Linked DNA regions of Xenopus tropicalis. The protein of the gene in region 3 purifies or fractionates together with the protein of the main gene of each other region. This does not show direct contact. Links are inferred from orthologs where the notes say so. Each region holds a gene or a part of one and is shown on either strand. Other genes may lie near its edges. The genes, in order: spata2l, spata2 and cyld.

Region 1 (2,651 bases), about 7.9 Mb from region 3:
CTGCTCTTGGCACCAATGTACTAGGGGGCACTGCTGCTGGGCACCAATGTACTAGGGGGGCACTGCTGCTTGGCACCAATGTACTAGGGGGGCACTGCTGCTGGGCACCAACATATTAGGGGGGCTGCGGGGCACACTGACTTATGGGGGCACTGCTGCTGGGCACCAGTGTACTAGGGGGGCACTGCTGCTGGGCAGCAATGTATTAGGGGGGCACTGCTGCTGGGCACCAACGTATTAGGGGGGCTGCGGGGCACACTGACTTATGGGGGCACTGCTGCTGGGCACCAATGTACTAGGGGGGCACTGCTGGTGGGCACCAATGTACTAGGGGGGCGCTGCTCTTGGCACCAATGTACGAGGGAGGCACTGCTGCTGGGCACCAATGTACTAGGGGGGCACTGCTGCTGGGCATCAATGTACTAGGGGGGTACTGCCCTTGGCACCAATGTACTAGGGGGGCACTGCTGCTGGGCACCAATGTATTAGGGGGGCCCTGGCTACCAATGTTTTAGGGGCACTGGCTACCAATGTTTGTGTGTCCTTTGTACTGATGGGAGGGGTCACTGGGGGAGGGGCCATTAGGGGGCAGGGCGTGGGAGGAAGAGGAGGGCCCTGAAAATTTTGTTGTGAGGGGCCCTGTGATTTCTGAAGGGGGCCCTGTCTGTTTGTATGAAGTGGCGTAACTACATGTTACTGGGTCCAACAGCAAATACAATTGGCAAGTTGACCTTTTCTACCAAGATATATTGGAATTTCGTACCAATTAGAGGCTTATTTGGGCCCCTTACACTCTGTGGCAGGGTCAGACTGGGCGAACTGGGCACTGGGAAAAAACCTCGGGTGGTGGGGCCCCTTATGGTGTGTGAAGGCCTAGCCCAAGTGGGCCTTGCACCTGCCAGTCCGACCCTGCTCCTGGGCCCCCTGCAATCAGGGTCAGCTTCCTCTGTAGTTACACCCCTGTTGGTGTGTTTAAACCATATTTAAACCAGTGTCAATCAGTTTCAAGCCAGTTACAAACAAGTCCCTTACCTCAGTTAGAGCAATTGAGGTCTTCTAAAAGCACTGCAGTTAAAACAATGAATGTAGCAAGTTGAGCAATAAAAACAAACATCTGATTGGTTGCCATGGGTTACTGCCCAGTGTTTATAAAGAGCTGTCTTTCAAAAAAAAATAGACTCTGTCACAAAGCTGCATGTAGGTATAGATTGCTGAGAGGAGGATAGTAAAGTGTTATTTATTTTAGAAACTGTATAGAATTTTAAATTCATAATATTAATAAAGTTTCTTATTTCTGTGAGTTGAAGCACATATAACATTTCCACGTTTCTGCTAAGGGAAAACAAAGTCACAATAGAAAAAATATTATATTGGTTTAACATTTGCTATACTACTCCATTTTCAGGATGGATGAGGACAGTCTCCTAACACAGTACCAGAACTGGCTGCTTGCTTCCTGTGAAGGTGGAGTAACTACACTATGCAGTATTACAGGCCTACTCAGGGATCGTTTGCTGGAGGAGCCAGAGTTACACGGTGCTCTTCGAAGTGATGCCTTTTCTTTGATTGCTTGCAACATACGACAGAAAAAGGGGTTGCGTTCAGCTTTACAGGATCTTGCCAATGCCTTCAGTTTACTTGAACAGGCCTGTCTGCATCTTTATTTTACACCATGGAGGAGAGAGTTTCATACCATAAAAGTGAGACTCTTTCATTTCTATTTTGTGCTAGAACCTCATTTTTGTGATTTTTGCATGCCATATGGTTGCCATGGCCACCTGCCACCAACATCTATATCACAATGCACTTGATATGAATGTGGCAGAACTGTCGGTTTCACTGTTATAGAAGTGCAACTGGCAACCTGTGGGTTCTAGCAAATGCCAGAGGGGCTGCTGTAAGATGCCATAGACAGTCACTATTTAATGAGCTGGTGGGGGGGGGGGGGGTGGAGCTGTTTGGGCCTCTGTGTACTTGGAATGCCAGGGCCTGTTTTGACTCCTTCACTATTTAAAGGAAAAAGAAAGTCAAAGTCACTTGGCGGTGCCAAAATGTTAGGCACCCCCAAGTGACTTTGACCACCTACCTTTTACCCCGGGCTGGTGCCCCTGTGAAGAGGGAACAGCACCAGCCCGGGGTAGCTGCCGGCGCTTGCTTCTTCCTGATTCGCTGCGCGCGCATGCGCAGTAGAGTGAAAAGCCGAACTTAAACAGTCGGCTTTTCACTCTACTGCGCATGCGCCCACCGCTGGCATTCCAGCAACGGAAGAAGGAAGCGATCCGCTCCAGGTGCCCCGGGCTGGTGCTGTTTTCTCCTAACAGGGGCACCAGCCTGGGGTACGAGGTAAGCGGTTAAAGTCACTTGGGGGTGCCTAACATTTTGGCACCCCCAAGTGATTTTGCCTTTCGTTTCCCTTTAAAGCAATACTAACATGTGCCTTTAAAAATTCCGTAGGAATGTGTCCGTATTACTGTGGAGTTTAGGTCTCAACTTCTTTCTATTTATAAATTCCCCCATGCTGCCCCTAGCCCAAGGGTACCTGTAGTTCTGTAATGGGAATGAGAGTGGCAGAGACTGCTCTGTTTTCTTCAGTCAGCCCTAAACTGTTGAAAGCAGCATTTGCTGAACTCTGGTTGTTACTTTTTAAACAA
Region 2 (4,020 bases), on a different chromosome or scaffold from region 3:
AGAGGCAGGACTTTGCCAAACCTGATGTGTGGCTATTGAAAAACGAAATGAATCCACTATATCACAAGCGTTCGCATTTAGCCAAAGAGACCGCTTTCATGAAGTGCCAAAGCTGCGGAGTATCGTGTGGTGGCCCTGTGTGCCAAAAGTGTGATAATGTGCTCATCTTTAGACCGGATGTCCCATCACACAAGCAAAGTAGCCTGTCCATTAAAACCACGGGTCAAAATGACAGTTACTCTTCCGGGCCCGTCCTGCGCGAGAAGTCTTCATACGGCTTATCATCCCAAGAGAGGGCTTCTCAGCAAAATCCAAAAATGAAGCCTTCGTCCACTCTGCGCTGTGGGTTTTGCAACAGGCAGGGGGCCTCCAACACTTGCACAGTCTGCTCCAAAGTCTCGTGCAACAATTGCATCACTGCTTACTGTCGGGAATATTGCTGCCGGAAAAGCGATTTTCACAAGTTTGCACCCAACAATCAGCTGAACTATAAGTCATCCCAACTGCCCCATCTTGTTTTAAGATAGACTTTGCAACCTTTTGCTGAATAAGGGCTAACTGGACTTGCCAAGCCTCTGGAACAGGAATACACTGGACTTGTCTGTTCAGGGAGGAGAAATCAGTGTTTTGTTTTTTTGTGTTTTTAGTTTTGGTGATGTCGGAAATACTGTGGATAATTCTGGTTCTCGCTGCTACAATTTGGTGCAATAAAATCCTTTGTGGTTTTGCTGTAAATCTTAAGTGCATTTCCAGAAGGAACCAAATTAATGAGAGCATTTTCCTGAAAAAAAAAATCTAAAATGAAAAAAAAAAAAGTATGGTTACGCTTGGTATTGTTCATGTACTTTTTTTTTTTTGTCTCACCTTCAGCCGTTTGCTGTAGGCCTCTACTCTTGTTAAGCACTTGGAGATTTGCCATTAAGATGCCAACGTTTTGTCACACTTGCCTATTTAAACCCATCTACCCTAAGATTTCCACAAATATTTAGGCAGAAAATCAAGATTCATTCCTTAATGACCATAATCAGGTTTTCTTAGTTAACTGGTATCTGGTTTTGCATGCAAAAAATAACCTGCAAGTCGGGTAATTAGGTGGTGGTTATTCAGGCCATTAATTTGGAAGTTGTAGCCTGTTCCTGTATTTAGTGTTTCCTATGTATATAGGGCTTAAAGCTCTTTGATTGGTCTATAAATCAGCGCTGTATTTTTGGCCCACAGCCCTACCAGAATTGTTAGTGGCAAGAATATCTGGATATTTTCAGGCTGCTGACTGAATTGTTTGGATCATTTCTTTGTTTTTTTTCATGAAGTTATGATCTGTGTGTGATGAGTGGGAATTTGCTGAGTGCGCCTGATGTTTGAGCCCAGCTAGGTGCCATAAGCACGGCTCAGCACCCTATGCCATGTAGGTGAGCACAGCTCTGCAGGGTGGCATGATAATTGTACTGTGCATGGTATAGCTTATGTGTGACTGTTCTGGGTCTTTTAAGGGGCAGTATATATATCTGTATGCCAGTATAGCGTGTTCATAAAAAATGTTCTAATTTTAAATTAGCCTCATTTGTTCTCGTTTATCCTGTTGCACTTTCATACCCATATAAGGGAAATATGAATATATGAACATATGAAGTCATCCTGAAGCCGATGGTTCTTTATTACACAATCTTATTTATTGCCCATCAGTCTTTGCAATGAGCGGAAGCCTCAGTGACTGAGGGCATAGTCTGGCATCATTTTGGGCACAGCCTGCTATCATTGATGATGTGGTCAGCCAAAACCTTTCATTTTAAAGAGGCAGTAAACCACCTTTTCTAAAATGACCTATAGTAGGGAGGGCCAAAGTCATGCAGAGCCTCACATGTTATCATGGGAGTACGCAGTAGGGGATGATGGGGGGCATAAATGTTAGCCAGTGGTTGCTGGGAATCAATACAGCAGTTCTGCAGGTTATACACAGTACTGACAATATAAGCCATAACTGTCCTGTCACGTTTTATGACAGATATCAAATACACTCTGGCAGGCTTTACTTTATAGCCTGGAACCATTTCACTATACAATATGTAAGCGCTTATTGACACATTCTTTCTGTGCCCATACACAGGCAGATATTGGGTCTTTCCTGGCTAATTATGCAGCCCATTGGCCTGTGTATGGGACCACTTCATCTTTTGATATCTGATGAGGCTCCAGGAATTGATGGGGCCAGATGAAATGGCTTATTGGCCAAGGATGGCATCAGTTCTTATATGCAGTCATTTCACTGTCTCGCTTATATATCAATGGCCGCCGAATGATAAGGCTTGTTCCCTAAATCTGTATATGTGTTTTGTGCCTGAATATATTCCTCCTGCCCGCTGTGTGGCACAAAATGGGCAAATCCATGACTTTGGGGGTATTGCATACAAAGTCAGCTTTGCTGGGTTCTTTTCTACTGACCCAAAGCAGGAAAAGGCACCAATAGTCGCTATTGGCCACATCCCATTCAAGTCAATGGAAAGCATTGTGACCGTTTTGGGTGCGTTTTCAACCGTGTGAAAGTCACGCGTCTGGGCCATGAGCCTTATAAGTTTATACCGGTGTTTCTGGGTTTTTATTTTAATTATGAGACCCTGGAGTTTCACTTTGCAGACGACCCTCATTTTTGGAGACTGAAATCCCTAAACCTTAAGTCATTTTGTGTCTTGAATGCCCCGACCCAAGCGCTCAGCTGCTCCGCCACAGTCTGCACCTCTTCCTTTGTGCATAGTACCCCGCAATGTGAATCTCAGAGAAGCAATATATGTATCACCGTGTGAGAGGGTGGGACTGTTCTAATTACTGCAGTTTGAAATGACTATAATGTGGCTCGTGCCCGGGCAGCTAACTGGGGGTTGTGTAAGTGCCATTTTCCTGGTATTCAAGCTTTCACCATGATGTTACACTATCGCATATTAATGTTATGACGTTGCGAAGCTTGAGCGCAAATGATGGACCCTTACGGAGCACATAATCCTTAATGCACACTTTCGATATTGGCTCTTTCTCACGTTGCATTGGCAGCTCTGGAGAGGCATTTTGCTGTTTCTTTAATAAATGTAGATAATATGTATATAAATAGTGGAGAAGGAAAACAAATATATAAATGTACAGTGATCATTTTGGTGTTCTTTTAATCATTTTTTTTTTTTTCTGATGTATTGCCTGTATGCTGGTCCACTATTTACATTCTGGTTTTGCGAGTCCTATATCCATCTATAGGTAATTAACAGCACTACAGTAATCCGAAATACTCCGTAATGCCACGTAACCTGTACAGTAACCTTGGAGGGACCCTGTTTTGCTTGAGATAGGGAGTCCCTTGTACATAGCCATCTATAATAGTAGTACAAACTGTGTTGACTTCTGAGTGACAATAACATGCTATTTTTTTTGTGTATATTTTGATGTATGAGGTTGCTGTGTCAACAGATCAAACAACAAAGTCTAAAATATAAACTTATTTCAAGCCTGTGTGTTCTGCCTTTGCTTCTCATTTGCTTTAAATGACCCCTAAACTGTGCCATGTTCTTACATGGGGGGTGGGCTGGAGTTGGGTATTTCCTGCTACTTCATTTTTACTACAGGGATTCTACATATACACCCTTAACGTCTCATTTATAGGATGAGAATATCCAGTTACAGCTCTAACCCAACATGGCCGCAAGGTGCCACATATAAAGTGCTGCCTAGTGATGGGGCAAATGGCTAACAACTGGGCAACCCTGGAAACTAGTGGTTTTCCTATTTGGTCACTAGAGGGCGATCACAGCCAAGTGTTTGTATCAGGACTGAATTCAAGTTGCATCATGTGATCTTTACATGAACCTTTATAAGGCCTGCACTTTTATGTTCGCCCCAATAACTCTTTGGCTCATAGGCCACAGGTCATGATTTGTCAGATACCATTAAAGTGCAACTTAGCCGGGCCGTCCTTTAGTGATAAGTGACACATTAACCATACATTATACAGTAAATTGGCACCTGTCATAATTCAAGTTT
Region 3 (3,657 bases):
ATGACACGAGCCTTATTCTTTTGACTATGTTTATTGATGCAAGTGGCTATGGGAACTTTGGTCCAGGGTCCCCCTGCATCAATGGACAATATAATGCTACTATAGCCGAGCACTATATGTAAGTGCAAGAAGTGACTTTGAATGTAAATACCTTTATTCAATGTAATTTTTAAGCAACAATGGCAGCAAACTTTGTGCAGCCACAACTTACAATAAGAGAATAAACCCTTATACCCCTCAAAACAATGTTAAAAGGAAAAGCATAGAGTTGACATATGCAGAGCATTCGCACCTGGAATTATATCATTAATATGGAGAAGAAGGGTGCTCTCAACACTTGCAAAGCTACAGAGTTGAATTCCATTGTATCTTCCATCCCAGTTTCCTATAGGGTTGTCCTAAAAATATACAGATTGCAGTACAAAACACATATTAGAAGAGCAGCAAATTGTTACGTACAATACTAGCTGCACATTGCTTTCTTGACAGATACCAGGTAACTAAAGCTGCCAATACCAACCATATGGTTAGGCATTTTGGTGTTATTTAAGCACCTAAGCACCCAAGCATATGTTGAACAAACATCCTGTAGTCCCATAATATAACTAGTCTATCAAGACAGATATCATGATCTGATCCTTATCTGTAAGGCATTAGCAGATCCAAAAGTGATAGCATATACTAGATGGGGCCTTACCAGCGCTCTGTTAAAGTGGAAGAATAACCCCCTCCTCCTGCAAATCCTTTTAATACAGTTAAGAACTTTGTTTGCCCTTGAAGCTGCTGACTGCTTTCTTGCTACAGCCAAGTTTATTATCTACTCCAAGGTCCTTCTCCATTATGGATTTGCCACGTGTGGTTCCATTAAGGGTATAAGTGGCTTGCATATTTTTACATCCCAGGTGCATGACCTTACATTTATCCACATTAAATCTCATCTGCCACTTAGCTACCTAGATTGCCAGTTTGTCAAGATCCTGCTGCAAGCATGCCACATCCTGGATAGAATTGACTGGGCTGCAGAGGTTTTGTGTCATCTACAAACACTGATACATTACTTATAATACCTGTAATCATTAATGAACAAGTTAAACAAAAGTGGCCCAAGTACAGAACCCTGAGGAACCCCTCTGAGAGCCTTACTCCAAGTAGAGAATGTAACATTAACAACCACCCTCTGTACCCGATCCTGTAGCCAGTTTTCTATCCATGTGCAAACGACTTCATAAGACCAACAGACCGTAGTTTAAAAAGCAGACGTTTGAGGGGCACAGTATCAAATGCTTTAGCAAAATCCAAATAGATCACATCTACTGCATCCCCACTGTCCAGCTTCTTACTAACTTAATCATAGAAAGCAATCAAATTGGTCTGACATGACCTGTCCTTCATAAAGCCATGCTGATTACTGCTCAAATTCTCCAGAACACAATTTGTATGTGATCCCTTAACAAACCTTCAAACAACTTGCCCATCACGGATGTCAAATTTACTGGCCTATAATTGCCGGGCTGAGAATATAATCCCTTTTTAAATATATGACATCAGCTTTCCTCCAATCCATAGGTACTATGCCAGAAAAAAAAGTGAGTCTGACAATTTCAGAAACAAAGGCCACTGTAAAACTGATCCTAGCTCTCTCAGTACCAAAGGATGTATTCCATCTGGCCCTGGTGCCTTGTTCACATTCATTTTGAGTAAACCTTTATGCACCATCTCCTGCATCAAGCACTGACTAGTTTGAGCTAAGCCAACAATGCAGCTATTGGGTGGGTCTAGGCACTCTGGCTCCTCTACTGTATACAATAAAAAAAGAACTGTTTTTTCTGTATCCATTGTAACTATTTGTTAACATAATTCAATGGGGCCACATTCTCAACCGGCATCTTTATACTTAAAAAACTTTTTAGGGTTAGTTTTGGCCTCTGCCACAATGCACTTCTCATTTTCTATCTTTGACTTCCGGAGTGCTGTTTTACAACACTTGTTATAGTGTTTATATTAATTAAATGCAGCTTCTGTCCTCTCTGACTCTGACTCTTGTATTTGTTAAACAACTTCCTTTTTTTCCCTACTAACTTCTTTACCTCTGAATTAAGCCTCATAGGGTGGTTCTTAAAGCTTCTATATTTACTTCTTAAGGGATTAAATTGAGAATAGTAATGATTTAATACCATTTTAAGTAACAACCATTTCTGTTCTGTGTTTTTAGTAGAAAACATAATGCCCACATCTATTCTCTGAAGCACTGCCCTAAACTTCATAGGCAGGAATGTTTGAAAAGGTGTAACTGGCCCTTTAAATTACACTCTGCAGTGCCAAAAAAGCCTTTCAAATTGTAGCATGAAAACCATTTAGAGAATCCCACAGTAATATCTTTTTAGGGACCCAAATCTTATAAAAAATGATCATATTTTCAAATCATGCATTATGCTTATACAGTCTGTACTGAAAATGCCAGTATACATTTTTCCCCTGTATAAAAAGTAATGCATGTCTTACCATGTCAACTCCAACAAAGTATCCAAGACTTTCTTTTCCAGGCAGAACATCACAAAATATAACAGTTCCAAACTCCATACCCTCCCCAATCTTTAAAGACACTCTGGAATTGATCTCTAGGGGAGGGATCTCTGACTGACTGTTGTCTGCAGGAGATGCATAATCACTCTCAATGTCCTCATCGTCATCCTCACATAGCTCTAACTTGTCTACAGCTACAAACACTCCACATTCTTCATCGCATCTGAAATGTTGCTTGCCCTGGTAGGAGCCCTCTGTAAAACCTTGGCCCCGTCCATCTTCCTAAAAAAAAAATAATAATAAATCTGTAATTTTCCCAAAATTTGACGTTTAACATTTATTTTACATGCAGAAATATAAAGTTGGTATCCAAGTTAAAGGAAAAGTAACACTAAAATTTTTAGCTTCCTGTCGATTGAAATACGGCGATATGGCGAAGGAAGGAGCAGCAATCACTATGCGACGATCGATTAATCGAGCCTAGCCTTCTTTCTGTATAGGAAGGAGTCAAGCTAGGCTTGATCAATCGATCGTCGCATAGTGGATGTGGCTCCTTCCTTTATCGCCGTAGTGCAATTGACAGGAAGCCAAGTTTTAGCAGGTATTTTCTATTAAAACATTTAAAATACTAAGTGGTTTGCAGGATAGTTATTGGTGCAGGGTAGAATAGCTTTTTTACTTAAAAAAATTTAGTGTTACATTTCCTTTAAGTTTCCAATGATCTGGTAATATTTCAGTATACTTAGCAGACACTGCATGGGGACTTTAAATTAGAAGCAAGAAACTTGTAGGGCACAAACAACTGGGACAGAAGAAACCACAACTGCTTACCAAACCCTGGCAAAAATAACCTGAACGAATGAAATTACACTGAAACAATTGGGACAAAGTGTATAAACATGTCTGAATAAATTATTTTTTAAATGAAAGCACACAGGATAGGTCTAGTGTAGGTCTAGAGACTAATGGGCCAGATCTGTCTCTCCAAGGCAATTTTAATGCCTCTGTTTCCTTAGGCTTTATTTTAGAAAATGTTATTTACTTTTAGAAAATAAATCTTCCTAACCATTCTGAAAAACTTATTATGACATAATACATAATAATTATGTATTATTTGTAAATAAAGTAAATGTA

What was found.
Region 1: the proteins of cyld (region 3) and spata2l purify together in Homo sapiens (affinity purification with mass spectrometry; 3 studies listed by BioGRID and IntAct, with this or other methods). This does not show direct contact. The link is inferred for Xenopus tropicalis from reciprocal best matches to the Homo sapiens genes CYLD and SPATA2L.
Region 2: the proteins of cyld (region 3) and spata2 purify together in Homo sapiens (affinity purification with western blotting; 10 studies listed by BioGRID and IntAct, with this or other methods). This does not show direct contact. The link is inferred for Xenopus tropicalis from reciprocal best matches to the Homo sapiens genes CYLD and SPATA2.

What each region holds. Positions count from the first base shown.
Region 1 is NC_030680.2:59,167,444-59,170,094, reverse strand, and holds part of spata2l (spermatogenesis-associated protein 2-like protein), read left to right. Parts: intron 1-1,405; 5' UTR 1,406-1,406; coding exon 1,407-1,700; intron 1,701-2,651.
Region 2 is NC_030686.2:36,155,161-36,159,180, reverse strand, and holds the end of spata2 (spermatogenesis-associated protein 2), read left to right. Parts: coding exon 1-527; 3' UTR 528-3,492; downstream 3,493-4,020.
Region 3 is NC_030680.2:51,226,975-51,230,631, forward strand, and holds part of cyld (ubiquitin carboxyl-terminal hydrolase CYLD), read right to left. Parts: intron 2,806-3,657; coding exon 2,503-2,805; intron 399-2,502; coding exon 293-398; intron 1-292. UniProt on the Homo sapiens protein: Deubiquitinase that specifically cleaves 'Lys-63'- and linear 'Met-1'-linked polyubiquitin chains and is involved in NF-kappa-B activation and TNF-alpha-induced necroptosis.